Saccharomyces cerevisiae S288C: one gene and its partner. The protein of the gene in region 2 interacts with the protein of the main gene of each other region in a biochemical or structural test. Each region holds a gene or a part of one and is shown on either strand. Other genes may lie near its edges.

Region 1 (10,448 bases), on a different chromosome or scaffold from region 2:
GAACCCCTCTCCCACTCTGATGAGGATCTAAGTGATGACACTAGTTCTGATGATGAAACGACGCTTGTCGGGCTCTCAAAGGAAGAGCTATTAGACGAATTAGATAAGGACCTCAAGGAAGATCATCAAGAGGAAAAAGAATCCAACTCAAAATCTGTCAAAAAAAGAAAAATAATGAAGGAGAACAACAAAAAAAAGGACCTGTATGAGCATGGGATCAAGAAGTTTGATGATTTATAGATTATTTCTTTTTTACTAAGAAAAACATATATCATTTATATTCAGAAATAAATAGGATTATTAACCTAGTGCTCCCAAAAAAAATAAGTTGAACTGTCTCTTTCGAGAAAAAGAAAGAGAAAAGAAATGGTCTCTAGCGGGATCGAACCGCTGATCCCCGCGTTATTAGCACGGTGCCTTAACCAACTGGGCCAAGAGACCATTATATTGTTAAAGATGTTGTATCTCAAAATGGGATACGTCAGTATGACAATACTTCATCCTAAACGTTCATAAAACACATATGAAACAACTTTATAACAAAACGAACAACATGAGGTAAAACCCGGCCTCCCCTAGCTGAACAACTCAAACGTATAAATGCCTGAACAATTAGTTTAGATCCGAGTTTCCGCGCTTCCACCATTTAGTATGATTCATATTTTATATAATATATAGGATAAGTAACATCCCGTGAATCAAGCTGATAAACAGTTTTGACAACTGGTTACTTCCCTAAGACTGTTTATATTAGGATTGTCAAGACACTCCGGTATTACTCGAGCCCGTAATACAACAGTGAGCTATTAAAAGAGCTTAAGTATTACAGAGTAATATCAATCATCAATCTTGGATCTAAAGTAATCGTCGAGACATTTATACACTTAAGTGATTCCTCTTTACAAGCGGAGCTTACTCTATATATTCATTCTTGTCAGTTTCATAACAGTTGTTTCATACGATTTCCACATGTGTCTCATATATATTTTATGTTTAGGTTAATAACTTTGGTAATGCTAAATTATCTTAATTTGACGTACACAAATTCTTCCTACTGTTATATATGTTCGAATTATCTTTTAAATTGTTGCTAAAAAAGTTAGAGTTATCACCAAATCAGTTGAGCAGATCACCATTATTCTTATGTAAATACTTGTTAAAAGAAGTAGCTTTCGCAAATACACCAATGCATTCGTTGATAATTTACGCAGTAACCTCTTACAGAACGCCTACATACAACTTAAACTCGTAATGTTCAGGCTTATAATGTCAGTATGCATTGTTACGCTTAGTATAGTTATTAAACTACGGACCAAATTATACTTTAAGCAGTAGTTAAAGAAAGAGATTAAATAAAGAATGATTTACAATCTAGTCGCAAAAACAAGTACAGTGCTGACGTCCCATCTTTTAATGCCTACTCTTTTGATGTTCACTTACATGTTACAATGAAGCCAAATCACAAACATTCAAATATATTCCATGGCCTCTTAGTTTGGCAACCCAAGACTCGGCATACCATATTGGTAACGCTGTATTGGAGAGATATATTCTAAAATATTGATAATTAATGGCAAAAAGGCAGTATTAATGAAGGTTGAATATGGATCTTAATATAATCGTATAAGAGGGGCATAAAATATACGCCGATTGGTTCAACATTAATTATGATCAATATAACAATGCGTCTGGTAATTACCATAACACTTAATGTAGCAACTCGTATAACAAACGTATCATGCTCAATTAATATAACCTTATCTCTGCTTCAGCACTGTCTGAGCTACTCTTTTAACGTTTCCTTTTGCAATAGGTACCTTCACACTAAAACATATACAATGGGTGCATTTAAATTGTTACCATAGCAACTCATATTACGATTCATTACCACTCATTTCAACACAACAACCTCTTGCTATCAAACTTACTTTTGCTTTTATTGCAGATATCTCGTTATTTCTGCAAAAACAGCATTCATTGGTAATGACAAGGTCAATTTTGGCTTTTATACATTTCACATGTACAGGATAGTGGAACACATTCCAAGGAGGTGAAGAACGTCCCCTTTGATACTTCCATACAAGGACGATTAAAAATACATAAGAGAACAGATCTGCAAAAATGCGTTTTACTTCCTTTACAATCTCAATGCCGATAAATAAGCGCAATGAAGATTACTCAGCAACTGTATGTTGGCTCATGCGAAATATGAATGTTTCATTCGAGATTACTTATCTTGTTTAACGCTTGAACAGCGTACTGTAACTTCTTGCTACAGAATGATGGACCCCATTATAATACTACCGCCTTGCGAATGCGCAATTTATTATGATCATGAACCCTGAGAAATCAAATGAATATTTAAAGTGTATGCAAAATGGACAAGAACATTATGGTAACATTGTCTACGACAGAATTTATTTTCTGACTTTAATAGTGACGGTTATACGAAATTAATGATTCTTCGAGAGGCAACTCACTTTACTGCAAATGGACCTGCAGAGTTTGCATCTAGAGGACAATATGCTGCACAAAAACGACCAATATTTACCTTCAACGAAAACAACCTTAAGAAACCCCTTCAACAACAACGCAGCTATCGTATCGTAGTGGTCTCCATAATGCGTGCACCTCCTTTAGCACTTATCGAGTAATAACATACGCTAGATAAGTAAAGTGTCCAGGATATTATAATTATATGATATTTCGGGAATGGTTTCTATATCTAGTTTTTTAACTTAGCCTAGACATTCGCCTCGTATTATAAAATACATGAAAGTGACTTGACTGCTTCATGAGAGTTATACTAAGAGCATTCATAACTAGAAGACACATTTTAGTTTTTATTACTGAGTAAGGGTTTAGTTTGTACATACAAGGCAACATGAAATTCAAGGTGCTGATGTTCAGTAAAGCCGCCTAGCTTTACGTGCCGAAATATTGATAATATGTCTCAGCCACTTCCTGGCTTAACTATTTAAATGATATTTCTGCATCCATCGGTATGGCGCACAATAAACGGTATCTGAGAATATCGAAAAGAACACCACAATACTACTGAGTGCAAACACAGAAGAGCGTAGGTGATTCAACTAATTGAGTTAGAAACTGCATCAACGCTGCATAATAAAGATGCTGCTGTTCAGGATCATTTTTTTTAAAGACTGAAAAAAATTGCTTATCGCTTTGCACGCGACTCTTTTTTCTATTATTTGAAAAATAGCTTAAGGGAAAAGAAAAGAATAGGTAGCTTTCAAAGCAAGAACCTCTACGATAAAGGACAAAGCTAGAAGCAAACACCGCAAAAAAAATGAGACCCGTTGTATCCACTGGTAAGGCATGGTGTTGTACCGTCCTATCGGCATTTGGTGTAGTAATTCTTTCCGTCATTGCTCATCTCTTCAACACAAACCATGAATCCTTTGTAGGATCAATAAACGATCCTGAAGATGGACCTGCGTATGTTATATTTTCTTATTTATTTCGCCGTTACCCATTTACCATCTCTTATATCTCTCCTCCTTACTAACAATTATATTTTAACCCTATTGTTTATAGTGTTGCACATACTGTTTATTTGGCTGCCTTGGTATACCTCGTGTTTTTCGTATTCTGTGGGTTCCAAGTTTACCTAGCCAGAAGAAAACCTTCGATCGAGTTGCGTTAGTCTTGAAGCCAATAGGATAATACCAAATGCATTAATATCGTCCAACTGTTCTATATACTTATCGTAACCTCGTTCCATGTGACATTCTTTTTTATTACACTTTTCGACAATAGCGAATTGAGTGAAATATTATGAAAGAATATATAGTATAAATATATACATTTATATATGAATTCTAATCAATAAAAGTCACAGTAACCAGCTTTTCCTAGCTTTTCGAAGTTTCGGAAGTATGACAAAATATGAGCGTGACCCTGAATTGGTGAACTTTCTATCGAAAGTGGAGGATTTGAACTCTAAGAGATACAGTAATATTCCTAGTTCAAAACCAGCGGGGGAAGCGCTTTCACCAGTTAGAAGTCACAACTCTGGGGAATACAGAAGGGCTGATATGATGACAGGGAAAAATGTGGAAGGTTGCGACAATTTGGCCTACCGATCTGCGTACAATTATGAAATGACGTTTTCTCCAAAGAAGACTCATTACTCATTAAGTGAGCTGAATCTCGAACGAATAACGCCAAGGCCGGATTTGGAGGGAAGTGCCTCTCAAAAAGAAAAAAAATTTTTAATTTCTGAAGAAGATTATTTATTATTGCAGAAATTGAAAGCCTCTCAAACATATAATGATTCCAATGCTGACAAAAATTTGCCTTCCTTTGAAAAAGGTCCTCGTATGCCCAGTCGGGGTCGACCCAGACCGAGAGAGAAGGAAATAATCACCATCCAATATGATTTTGAATTACCAGGAAGAGCCGATATACCCTCCTCCTCCTCTTCTTCATCACCACCGCCTTTGCCCACAAGGCGTGATCATATCAAAATCACAGATGGGAATGAAGAGAAACCGCTTCTTCCAACAAGGCCTAACAAAGCAGAAGTTACAGAAAGTCCGTCATCAAGGTCAATAAAACCGGATGCTGTGGTACCTGAGCGCGTTAAGCCTGCTCCACCTGTCTCACGCTCTACAAAACCGGCGAGCTTTTTAAGTTCTTTGGAAGATAACAAATTGACAAAGGCGAAGAGTTATAATTCGGAAATGGAAACTCCCAAAACAACTGTAAAAAGTTCTCATATCGATTACTTGGATTCCATACAACTAAAACCAACCACCTTATCTCCTACAATGAAAAATAAACCTAAACCAACCCCTCCTTCTCCACCTGCGAAAAGAATTCCAAGATCTGAAAGTTTTATCAAGTCTATGCTAAACTCGAATCTCACGACAACTTCCAAGCCTTCTTTGCCTGAAAAACCTCAAAAGCTACGGAATGCAAATTTGGCCGCCCATAAGACCAAACCAAGCATACCGCCAAAGAAAGTGGAGTTGAATATAGTATTACCTGAGCTACGTCCCGTAGAAACTTCTCCAACAAAGCAGAACTTCGAAAACTCAATCGATTTGCCCAAGTTACGATCCAGCAACCGTAACATTAAAAAAGAAGAGGAGGACAGTATTCCAGAAGCAATAAAAGGTATACAAAATCTGAAGAAAACCAAACAGCAGAAGCCTGCAATCCCTCAGAAAAAATCATTTCTAACAAATAATTCGAAAAATACTACACTCAAAAATGGTGATGATATTAACAAGTTAAATGACGAAATTGAAGCTCTATCATTGCGGAATAACCTGAAGAAACGGCCACCAACGGCGCCACAACGTAAAATTTCTTTGCCAGAGGCATTGCGAAAAGTCGAATTGATGAAAAAATCTAAAACCGAGCCTGTTTTAGAGTCCTCAAACGAACTGAGCATAAACGCAAAATTAGACGCAATAATTGCCTCTAGAAACTTAAGAGCATCTAATACTCTACCAGAACTTAGCGGTGTTAACACTAATATTGCAACTTCTGACAAGTATACTACTTCTAGAGATGAAACAGTGAAGGAAACTAAACCATTAGTTCACCCGAATAAAAATAGGACTCGTGGTCCCAGAAGAAAACTTCCAACACGCGTGTAACTACAGAGTAGACCTCCGTATTTTACACATGTATGTACGTACATATGATGTAACAATAATATGATAATTTAATGGGATACATGTATTATCGTCACTTCCCACGTTTGCGCTTTGACATTTGCTCCCCTTATGAACCTGAAGGAATATAAATCATCGATCTTTTTGCTACACTTTTCCTCCCTTATTAGAAAATAGCAGTAAAATTACAGGCTATTCAAACCCTGAAACATCTCAATTATGGCTTGGACTAGTACATTACCAGCGCATCTACTGAACCTGATCAAAAACTCCAAATATGTTCACGTGGCCACCTGTTCTAAAGACTGCATCCCTTCAGTGGCATTGATGAACTATATCTATGTGCCAGGTGAAAAACTGTTCGGTCAAACAGATAATAAGAATGACTACATTATATTTGTTTCTCCTCAGGACACACAAAAGTTTTACAACATCAAGGAGAACCCTAAGGTCGCCCTGTTGTTTCACGATTGGATCATCGCGAATAATTTGTCAGTGGGCAAGGAAAGCATCTCTGGGACTCCGACGCCGACTTCTATTCCTCATGAAGAGCAACGTCAAAGCGAGCTTTTAAATTTGTTACAGGAGTTAAATCAAGCCGAATTGAACCAAATGAGCGCATCTATTGGTGGCGAAACCGAAATTGTCAATCCTGAAAGTGAAGAATCCAAGTACTATAAAGATTTAATACTAAAGGCTAATCCTGATGCGAAAGCTTTTATATTTGAAAAGAACACCGCCGTTGTTAAAGTTAGAATTGATAATGCTAGGGTATCCAATAATGAGAACAGAACAATGTTTCTAAGTAAAGGGAAGAGTTAACTGTCCTCTGCTTTTCTTTATCTATTTTGCATACGATTCTGTATTTAATTATTCTGTTTTTTTTTTTTTTTTATTTTTTATTTTCATGTACACAAGAAATCTACATTAGCACGTTAATCAATTGACTAGTTACCTTCTTGACCAAAATCTCTAGTGAACTGTTCTTGCTTCAGCAAGTCATCCTCATTCACGGTAGGTCTCGTCGATTTGATAGCCTTTAAGAAATCCTTTATGGTGAGATCTGGTTCTTTTAATTCATCAGCTTCAATATCCGTCCAACTCATCTCGATGGCGCCATCATCACCTGGAGAGCATGGTGTTAGTTTTCTTGTTTCGTCGTCCTCCGTAGAGACATCTTTGAAATGTGTCGCGCTTTGAATTTTTCTTATCGGTTGCATTAGCGCATCTTTCACCACTACAGCAATATCACTCCCGGAATAACCTTCAGTCATTGCACCTAAAGTTCTATAATCTTCCTTGGTCAATACGCATGGAGTGTCGCCGACGTTAATCTCGAACATGGTGGTTCTTGCCGCCAAATCTGGTAATGGTATATATATTCTTCTTTCAAATCTTCTCCTGATGGCACTGTCCAGTTGCCATGGGATATTTGTTGCGCCAAGGACCAAAACACCTTGGGAGTCATTCCCAACACCATTCATTTGTACCAATAATTCTGTTTTAATTCTTCTACTTGCTTCGCTCTCTCCTTCTCCTCTGGTACCTGTTAGCGCATCCACTTCATCTATAAAAATAATAGAAGGTTTATTTTCTCTTGCCATCGCAAATAACTGTTTGACAAGTTTTTCAGATTCACCCATCCACTTAGAAACCAAATCACTGGAACTAACACTGAAAAAGGTAGAATTGGCCTCGGTGGCCACTGCTTTTGCCAAATATGATTTACCTGTACCTGGTGGTCCGTACAATAAGATTCCCGAAGTGGGCTTACGGTTACCTTTGAACAAATGTGGGAACTTGACAGGTAAAATAACGGCTTCTTTAAGGGCCTCTTTGGCTCCTTCCAGTCCAGCCACGTCTTCCCACTTAACATTGGGCTTCTCAGACAAAATAGCACTCGATAAGGCACCTCTTAGCTTTTTGTTGTCTTCTCCACCATTATCCTCACCCTCTTCCTGAGAGATTTTCTTATTACCACCGTTGGAACCACTACCAGCGCTAGGAGATTTCTTTGCCGCGTTTGCCTCTTCACTTTCCAAGTGCTTTTTCAACTGCTCTGCACGGTTTAGATACTCTGTAAACTTCGCTCTTATCAAATCCTTCGACTTAGGGTTTTTCTCGTATTTCAAAGCCAACATCAAATAATCTAATCCGTTATAGTATGCTGTATACGCCTCCTCATACTGCGTGGCTGTGTCCAGGTCAATGGCCTTTTGAACCAGTTCTATTCCCTTAGTTAAAAAATCTCCCGTGCTCATTTGTACCCCATCTACTATAGGCACTCTATGCTGCTTTATTTTTGTCTTCCATGTCCTCAACCCACGATTAAATCGTTCGATATCATGAAGTTCTTATTTTTTTTTTTTTTTCACCCAGCGGGGGTACCCGTAAAGCAATACAATAAATATCATCAAGCAAGAATAAATAGATGTACAGAAAGAACAACCATGACGTGTTGTGTTTCTATTCAGCGTGCGGAACCGAATCCTCAGTCGGAGATTCTCTGAGAATGTTCGTTTGAGGAAGCTTAGGATACTTGGCGTAGAAGTTGGGGCCCTTTGGGGGCTGTAGGGAAGAAACTGGTCGTTGGCGCGACTGGAGTGGCGACATGTGAATCGGACTTGAAGTCACTAACGGGTTTACTGCTCTTACTGGCGAAGGTGGTAAATTTTCTGTCGGTTTGAGGTTGTCTCGCTCAATATTTTTCATGTCTCGACGAGACTCCAGGTATCTTTGATCGATGTTTGCGTCGTCCAACACCGACTGCAACAGATGACACTTTTCCTTGACAAATTGTAGTTCCTTTTGTGTAGAGTGCAGCTGCTGCCGCAATTGCGCAAACTTTGCTTGCCATTGTAGAGGCACACAATCCTGAGAATTTTTAGACAATGGGACAACGCTTTCTTCTTCCTCATCTGCGGGAGACCCCCATACAAACGCTTGGATCTTGGCAAGAGTCTTAGCAATATTGAATCCAAACGCGTGTTGTTGAGCCCTCTTTTTGGAGATATTCTTGTAGTTTTTAGAACGTGTCCTTTGTGAAGCGTGTCTAACATGATTTCTTTCGCGAGGCACAACCACCAATTTGCGCTCTTTTCGTATCCCCAATGTCTTTTCCTGAATTCCCATTGTGATCTTCAATGCCAACCCAACCTTCTTTTTACTTTGTTGGGTCTAAATTATGTTACTTTGTCCATTTCATCTCTTTTCAAGATGGAATCTAAAAGAAGAAAAACGACAAAAGGAACAAAAGTGATGTGACGCGTTATTTTTCGCGTGACATAATAGAAAAATATTTCAACTGGGCATCTTTAACACATGTTACAATAAAGTTGAGATGACTTGTTTATGCCTTTAAAGTTTGTAAGTGGAACTAGAAGCGTCTATGTGTGAAATGTTTGGCTCTGGGAATGTTCTGCCTGTTAAAATTCAGCCTCCGCTGCTTAGGCCACTGGCGTATAGAGTTTTATCAAGAAAATATGGTTTATCAATTAAATCTGATGGACTGTCTGCTCTTGCAGAATTCGTTGGCACTAATATAGGTGCTAACTGGAGACAAGGGCCTGCTACAATAAAATTTCTCGAGCAATTTGCTGCAGTATGGAAACAACAAGAAAGAGGCCTTTTCATCGACCAGAGCGGGGTTAAAGAAGTTATACAGGAGATGAAAGAACGTGAGAAAGTCGAATGGAGTCATGAACACCCTATTCAACATGAGGAGAATATCTTGGGACGGACAGATGACGATGAGAACAACAGTGACGATGAAATGCCGATCGCTGCTGATTCATCCTTACAAAATGTTTCATTATCTTCACCCATGCGACAGCCCACCGAAAGAGATGAATATAAACAGCCTTTCAAGCCAGAAAGCTCCAAGGCGTTGGACTGGAGGGACTACTTCAAAGTTATCAATGCTTCTCAGCAACAAAGATTCTCATACAATCCGCACAAAATGCAATTTATTTTCGTCCCCAATAAAAAGCAGAATGGGCTAGGAGGCATTGCGGGTTTTCTACCAGATATAGAGGACAAAGTTCAAATGTTCTTGACAAGATATTACCTCACGAACGACAGAGTCATGAGAAATGAAAACTTCCAAAACAGTGACATGTTTAATCCATTATCATCTATGGTGTCTTTACAAAATGAACTGTCCAATACTAACCGACAGCAGCAATCCAGCAGTATGAGTATCACCCCAATAAAAAACCTACTAGGTAGGGATGCTCAAAACTTTCTACTATTGGGGCTCTTAAATAAGAACTTTAAGGGCAATTGGTCACTGGAAGATCCGTCTGGATCTGTCGAAATTGACATTTCCCAAACTATCCCTACACAAGGCCATTACTACGTGCCAGGTTGCATGGTTCTTGTGGAAGGAATATACTATTCTGTAGGAAATAAATTCCATGTTACCTCCATGACTTTACCCCCTGGTGAGAGAAGAGAAATTACATTAGAAACGATAGGTAATCTCGATCTCTTAGGAATACATGGCATTTCTAATAACAATTTCATTGCTCGTTTGGATAAAGATTTGAAGATTAGATTACACCTTTTGGAGAAAGAATTAACAGATCATAAATTTGTAATTCTCGGCGCAAATTTGTTCCTAGATGATTTGAAAATTATGACTGCACTCAGCAAAATTTTGCAAAAATTAAATGATGACCCACCGACCCTATTAATTTGGCAAGGTTCTTTCACTTCAGTTCCCGTTTTCGCATCAATGAGTAGCCGGAATATAAGTAGTTCCACTCAATTTAAGAATAATTTCGATGCCTTGGCGACGCT
Region 2 (8,087 bases):
AACGATGTAATACTCCTCAAAGGTCCTCCAAACGAGGCCCCCTCGGTGCTTTTATCTGGTTGCATCGTTTTATCGATTAACGAACCCATGCAGATCAAAAGCATATCATTGAGACTTTATGGGAAGATACAAATAGACGTACCATTAGAGAGGCCCCAGGACGCTAGTTCTTCGTCGTTGTCTTCATCGCCGCCAAAGATCAGAAAGTACAACAAAGTTTTTTATAATTACGCATGGGATAATGTTAACCTCAAGGAGTATCTGAGTGGTTTAAGAGGGCAATCTGGCCTTGCGGGCAGTAGCTCATCAAGTAATATCTTGGGCACTCGCCAAAGAGCTCAGTCCACAAGTTCCTTGAAGTCTTTAAAGGGGTCCTCCTCACCCTCTTCATGTACTTTAGATAAGGGCAACTACGATTTTCCCTTTAGTGCTATTTTGCCTGGTTCGTTACCAGAGAGCGTAGAATCTTTGCCAAATTGCTTCGTGACATATAGCATGGAATCCGTTATTGAACGCAGCAAAAATTATAGTGATTTGATCTGTAGGAAAAATATTAGAGTTCTGAGAACCATTTCACCCGCAGCAGTGGAGTTATCAGAAACTGTTTGTGTAGATAACTCATGGCCCGACAAAGTGGATTATTCTATTTCAGTACCCAACAAAGCCGTAGCTATTGGTTCAGCCACCCCTATAAATATTTCCATTGTACCTCTTTCGAAAGGTTTGAAATTGGGCTCAATCAAAGTCGTATTATTTGAGAATTATCAATATTGTGACCCCTTCCCTCCAGTAATTTCTGAAAATAGGCAAGTGACAGAACTAAATCTTGAAGATCCCTTGAACGAGTCATCTGGAGAATTTAATGGTAATGGTTGCTTTGTAAATAACCCCTTTTTTCAGCCTGATCATTCATTCCAAGACAAGTGGGAGATTGATACCATCCTGCAAATCCCGAACAGCTTATCAAACTGTGTGCAAGATTGTGATGTCCGCTCTAACATTAAGGTTCGCCATAAGCTCAAATTTTTCATCATCCTAATTAACCCAGATGGTCATAAATCTGAGTTAAGAGCGTCCTTACCGATTCAACTTTTTATTTCACCATTTGTGGCACTTTCAATAAAACCATTGTCATCCTCGAATTTGTATTCGCTTTTTAGCACCACTAACCAGAAAGACGAAAACTCATCACAAGAAGAGGAAGAGGAATATCTGTTTTCTAGATCAGCATCAGTCACAGGGTTGGAATTATTAGCGGATATGCGTAGCGGTGGCTCTGTTCCTACCATTTCAGACTTGATGACGCCCCCAAATTATGAAATGCACGTATATGATCGTCTTTATAGCGGTTCTTTCACTCGCACGGCTGTGGAAACGTCTGGAACATGTACTCCTTTGGGAAGCGAATGTTCGACTGTCGAGGATCAGCAACAGGATTTAGAAGATTTACGTATACGGTTGACAAAAATTAGAAATCAACGTGACAATCTAGGGCTACCACCGTCTGCCTCGTCTGCTGCCGCTTCCAGATCGCTATCTCCATTACTAAACGTTCCAGCACCAGAGGATGGCACGGAGAGAATCTTACCTCAGAGTGCTCTTGGTCCCAATAGTGGCTCTGTGCCAGGAGTACATAGTAACGTATCACCTGTTTTACTTTCAAGATCCCCAGCCCCAAGCGTGTCAGCCCATGAAGTGTTACCAGTGCCCTCGGGCTTAAATTATCCAGAGACTCAAAACCTGAACAAGGTTCCATCGTATGGCAAGGCAATGAAATATGATATCATTGGTGAGGACCTTCCTCCTTCCTACCCTTGTGCGATACAAAATGTGCAACCAAGAAAACCCAGTAGGGTACATTCCAGGAACTCTTCGACAACATTGTCATCTTCTATACCAACTAGCTTTCATTCCTCTAGTTTTATGAGTAGCACTGCTTCCCCTATTTCCATAATTAATGGCTCTAGAAGTAGTTCTAGTGGGGTATCTCTTAATACACTTAATGAGTTAACTTCGAAAACTTCGAATAACCCATCCAGTAATAGTATGAAAAGGTCACCAACAAGACGGAGGGCTACTTCTTTAGCTGGGTTTATGGGAGGTTTTCTATCAAAGGGTAACAAACGATAGTCGCCGATATTGTTTCGGCTCGTGCATTAAGCTTGTATAGTTTCATATAGAAAGTGATGTATATAGCATTTACGCACTCTAACTGGCATTTTAAAGAAAAAGGGATAAATGCAATGTTTGGCGTGCGGCAGTATAAGTTCAAAAAAATCCACTGCATTGTTGAAAAGAGTCAGGTCGATCCTGCTATTGGTTTTCAGTTTGAGGGATCCTTTGATTTGCTAGATATCATAAGATAAATGGTCCACCATAAAGTAATTAAATCTTGAAATTAAATTCTTATTCCATTAGAGACAGAGAAACTATTCATTGTACATTCTCCAAATGTGGTGATATAAACACTACATTCGCTAAATTACATTATATTATTTCGAGCTTTGTCTTGTTTATATTTAGTTACGTTGGGATCAAGTTTTAAAAAACTAGATCTGGAGTGACCAAAAAAAAAATACCCAGCGTAAGGTAAATATTATGGATATGCTTTGGAAGAAAAGAATTTTGAGACTTACACATTATTCGGCACAGTAGGTACTAGAAAGCATAGAATCACATTCGCCTTTAAAGACATTCTTTTTTCTTGCTCCTTCTATGGACTGCGACACAATAGTTGTTTTTGTGTCGTACCGAAGAAAAAGCCTTGTGCAGAAAGCAAAAATAGTACACTTCTAGCCTTGATTACCAAGAGTTATGACAAAAATTTGCAGTTCAGAGTATACCTTAAAAACTGTTCCTAAGGTCAAATAAAGAGGAAAATAATCAAACTAATTATTCATTAATTGAACGAACCAATAATAACGAGAGAATCAGTATCACAAAAAAAATTTCAACCTACAAGAGGAAACATGTATTCTATTTCAAACAAAAAACCTTCTATACTCAGTATGGTTCCCCTGAATATTTTGAAAAACCAGGATTTGAAAGTAAAAAAAGATCAAGAAAAGAAAATATCATTTAACCCCGTAGTTACTCCTATTAGGCCAGACGACTACCACGAAAAAACATCCAGATCGTCAAGTTCGAGCCATTCTGATTCACCTGAATTTTTGAGAATTAACAACAACAAATCCGGTCACAAGAATGGAAAATTGAAAAGTTTTGAAAGTAAAAAACTAGTTCCGCTATTCATTGGTGACCTCCATGAAACAGTTACTGAAGAAACTTTAAAAGGGATCTTCAAAAAATATCCCTCTTTTGTCTCTGCTAAAGTTTGTCTTGATTCAGTGACAAAAAAATCACTGGGCCATGGTTACTTAAATTTTGAAGACAAAGAAGAAGCTGAAAAGGCTATGGAAGAATTAAATTACACGAAGGTTAATGGTAAAGAAATTAGGATTATGCCATCATTGAGGAATACAACGTTTAGAAAGAATTTCGGCACTAATGTCTTTTTCTCTAATCTACCTCTAAATAATCCATTATTAACAACAAGAGTATTCTATGATACGTTTTCTAGATATGGTAAAATTCTATCATGCAAATTAGACTCTAGGAAAGATATAGGATTTGTTTACTTTGAGGACGAAAAAACTGCGAGAAATGTGATCAAAATGTACAATAATACCAGTTTTTTTGGTAAGAAAATTCTATGTGGAATACATTTTGATAAAGAGGTCAGAAGTGTTCCAAATTTTGAAACACAAAAATCACGATTAGATGCGGAAACAATTATTGAAAAAGAGCAATCTTTGAATGAGAAACACTCCAAGGGGAATGATAAGGAATCTAAAAATATTTACTCTTCATCCCAAAATTCTATATTCATCAAAAACCTTCCAACAATAACTACAAGGGATGATATTTTAAATTTCTTCAGTGAAGTGGGTCCAATTAAGTCAATTTATCTATCCAATGCCACTAAAGTTAAATATCTTTGGGCATTTGTTACATATAAAAATAGCAGTGACTCAGAAAAGGCAATTAAACGCTACAATAATTTTTATTTCAGAGGTAAAAAGCTTTTAGTAACCAGGGCACAGGATAAAGAAGAAAGAGCCAAATTTATAGAATCTCAAAAAATATCTACACTTTTCCTGGAAAATTTAAGCGCTGTCTGCAATAAGGAATTTCTTAAATATTTATGTCACCAAGAAAATATTAGACCGTTCAAGATTCAGATAGATGGATATGACGAAAATTCTTCTACATATTCTGGGTTCATCAAATTCAGGAATTTTGAAGATGCTACGAGAATATTTAACTTTTTGAATAACCGTTTAGTAGGAGGAAGCATCGTCACGACATCTTGGGAAAGACAAAATAATGCACCTAAATATCATGATGGTTATGGAATGCGCAATATACACACCTCTTCTCATCCACAAATTACCCCATATTACCAGTACTCACATGCGAATAGTTTGAACTCCCCACACATGAGAGATCTTTCGTCAATGAATAGCAGCACAAGATCACTAATAAAGAATAAAAATTTCAATAAGAAAGTTTTGGAAACATTCGAAAAGCAAGTAAGAAGAGGTATAGATTTCATGAGATTTCCAAGTGCCACTAGAGACGAAAATGTGCACGGAATAGCTGAGTATATATTCGACACTTATTGGAATCGCGATGTGTTAATATTGGACAAATTTTTATCGTTGCTAAATAGTAGTCCATATCATGAAGGTGTATTGCAAAAACAAATTGAAGAGGCTGCAAGCTCGTTAGGATTTAAAAGATGAATGTCTCTTTGTTAATTTAGCTAGAGTTTTCCTTATTTATTTTTTTTATTTACACTAATTCAATCTTTTTCGTTATATTTAGATATTATTAAAAATTATTATTATGGAAAAAATTCTTAAAAGGATAGACAGAGGGACGCCGTCTGCTATATGATATGTATTTAGGTCCGAGTGCTGATAAACTGTAAGGCAAAAGGTATAAGTGTAAATCAATAACGTTTCTCGTATTCTTTACTCTCCTTCAAATTTTTTAAACTAGTTCAACGTAATTTGCTGGGAATATACCTTCTCTACCGTTGACTCTTCCGGTCCACCAGTCATTTTGAGAATCTGATTTTTTCAAAATTGTGATCACGTCACCCTTTCTGAATGGTAAATCTCCGGACTCTTCTCCTGCAAAGCTATATAATGCCACGGCCTTTGGAGAAGACGTGGATGGGGATGTTGGAGCAGTGAATCTGCCCTGACTAGTTTGCGGTGTTGAAGCGGACGAGATTCTAGATTTAGAAAATCTGTTCGACAAGTCATCGACTTCACGGTCTTTTGTCCTATCTCTTCCATTCCCGCGTCTATACCCGGATTCATAATCATCATCATAATCATCGTATTCATCATCAGCCCAACGATTTCTTGAAGAACGAGCCCTTGACTGAGCAGTTCCTGATCTTCTGTGGCTGGCATAATAACTTGAAGCTCCAGATGGGTCATCCAATTTACCACCACTACCGCCACTGTTGGTAGGAGCCAGTCTTGAATTCCTTGAATAGCCAGTACCATAATCATCATCGTCATCATCATCGTCGAACGTATAACGAGAACCGCTTTGGGCTCTTCTCCTTGTGGATCTTGTGTTAGGTCTAGTGGAGGAAGCATCTGTAGAACTGAATGAACTAGGAATGTCATTATAGTAATCGTCGTCGTCATAGTAATCGTCTTCGTCGTCATCGAAACTGCCACGACCACCGTTGGAGGGTCTGTAATTAAACGCCCTGGACTCTAAAACACGAAACAATGGATCAACTGCTGGAGGCGGTCTTATCCTACCAGACAAAATCATTTTCGCGGTACAATTGTCACCATAAAATTTTCTGTTAGCCTCTCTTCTTTCTATAATAGCCGAACCTTCCACAGAAACCCCTGCAAATAGACCTTTACTCTTAGAATAGGCAAAAACTGCAGCCACACCACCGGCGGAGGCTGATGCAGCTGCTTCTGCACTTCTACCAAGAGGCCCAGCAGAAACGGAGACGTTACCACCCAACGTGATGGTCCCAAATTCAGAAAACGACTTAACAGCATCCTGAGTATTTAAAATGAAAACAAAATCAGTCAATTCTATACCAACCATCCCACCGGCACCAGCACCTGCCATGGCAATGGCAGATGGAGCTGACCAAGTACCATCCTTTAATCTTGCGACAATCACACCAGAACCAGCTCTACCTGAAAATAGAAAACCTGCTTTTAAGATCGTTATGATAGCCAACCCTTTAGCTCTTTTCAAAACGTCTGGAGGAATGACTTGGTCCGCACCAAAAACTTGGTTTGGTTTGACAAAACTAGCCAAAATCTTCGCTGCTTTTCTTTATTAATTGTTTATTACTAGTTAGTAAATGATGAACAAATTAAGGGAGAACTTTTTTAAAGGTTTCCCAGCCAAACCCGTATAAAACATACTTTGTCTCACTCTTTAAACTCCTTGGAATAGGATTGTTAATACCCATTGCGTGTGATACAGCTTTTGTTTTTGATTTCTTTGCCACCCGTGATCCAAAGCCGTTCTAGATTTCTTCGATAGTTTATACTCTTTCATGTTGAACTTCCAGATGCGGCCGAGTCGGCGAGCAAACAGGGTGCTGCTACTAAACGAACAATAAAGAAAGACAATTTGGGCACCCAATATAAAATGAGCAGTCAATTCAATCAATTCAGTGTGAAATTTTTTTCTTGGAAAGATCATTCACTTCTACACAGCTGTACATGAGTTTATATGACAGTTTTTTTTTATGTACATCCAGTTCAAGATAATCAGATTATATATTGGCCCAAAAGGGATCATTAACGAATTGCGAAATGGGTAATCTCTTTACAGTTAACAGATTCTCTGGTGATTGGCTTTCCTCAAGGTAGCAAATATACTCTAATTGTAGCACGTCTACTATGTATTTCTTTACCTTGTCATAGCACACACCCACTTGCGCCACGCCGTGTGCGTCATCACTTAGAACAAATCTGGATCCACAGTGCTTCTTGACCAGATTACATAAGGTTTTGCTGGGGTACGGCTCCTCGAGGCGCTTTCTTAATGCGGACGTATTGATTTCAATTGCGCCGCCATAGGAGTCTATAAATTGTAAATTTCTTACAACTGCATCGTATATTTCTGGCCATTCACTGATGACGTCCAGTGAAGCTACAGGAACTCCGGTTTCTTCGTTGCAGTTGCCCGATTTCTGGTTTACTAGCATGTCATTGGGCAAAAATAATTTGTAAAGGTCGAAGTGACCCACGACCAACGGTTTAATATTGATCAGCATTTCGTACTGTGATTGGAAGTAAGACAGGAGAAAATGTTTCAAATTATCATTGAAGGAATGCAATGAATTGTACCATTGTTGTTGGTCGAAATCAATAGGGATCCCGTTGACGTGATGGACCGAACCCACACAAAACTTCAAAATATCATTATTCTCCTTCATGAGTCGCTTTGCATATTCGATATGAGCCATGTCACAACTTTCGATCTCCATTCCTATAATGAATTTAGTCCGCACATCGGGTCTATCAGCATAACGAGTCTTGATTTCTTGCGCATGACTCATGAAATTCTTGAACGATGTTTCTAGCTTGGTTATGACTTCCTCAGGATTCTTGCCCAATGACTGCTCTTCGGGGTATATAAACTTGGCCTCAATTCTTGGTATGTGCTCTGTCAAACAGTACGTGTGAAAGTTGAGGTTGACCACTTGATCGACCACGGAATCCAAAGGGTCCGTACCGTGGGCACTATAGTCACCGGAGTGTGAATGGTGTGAGTGCATGACCTCGAGGATTTTTACTGAATTGTACGTATCAAGAAGTACTAAAATGTGTTTGAAAGGGAAAGATTGTACGGGAAATGGAAAATGTACATATAATATCCAGTATCATTTGAGTTGATAGAGATTATCTCTATAGATAGAGAGATTTGACAAAAAAAATAAAAAAATTTAAATGGACGAGTCCGGAATCGAACCGGAGACCTCTCCCATGCTAAGGGAGCGCGCTACCGACTACGCCACA

Evidence for each region.
Region 1: the proteins of LSB3 (region 2) and BSP1 interact in a test that uses a peptide from one of them, tested with the Saccharomyces cerevisiae proteins (one study listed by BioGRID).

What each region holds. Positions count from the first base shown.
Region 1 is NC_001148.4:879,929-890,376, forward strand, and holds BSP1 (Bsp1p), read left to right. Parts: upstream 1-3,899; coding exon 3,900-5,630; downstream 5,631-10,448. Other genes in the region: JIP5 (Jip5p), read left to right, coding at 1-240; YPR170W-B (uncharacterized protein), read left to right, coding at 3,311-3,459, 3,559-3,667; YPR172W (pyridoxal 5'-phosphate synthase), read left to right, coding at 5,868-6,470; AAA family ATPase VPS4, read right to left, coding at 6,596-7,909; CSA1 (Csa1p), read right to left, coding at 8,115-8,780; DPB2 (DNA polymerase epsilon noncatalytic subunit), read left to right, coding at 9,046-10,448. UniProt on the Saccharomyces cerevisiae protein: Recruits the capping protein complex to actin patches and the actomyosin contractile ring, and/or stabilizes their interaction. May serve as an adapter to link INP52 and INP53 to the cortical actin cytoskeleton. Binds F-actin.
Region 2 is NC_001138.5:196,905-204,991, forward strand, and holds LSB3 (Lsb3p), read right to left. Parts: upstream 6,530-8,087; coding exon 6,483-6,529; intron 6,389-6,482; coding exon 5,056-6,388; downstream 1-5,055. Other genes in the region: ROG3 (Rog3p), read left to right, coding at 1-2,130; PES4 (Pes4p), read left to right, coding at 2,970-4,805; HIS2 (histidinol-phosphatase), read right to left, coding at 6,839-7,846.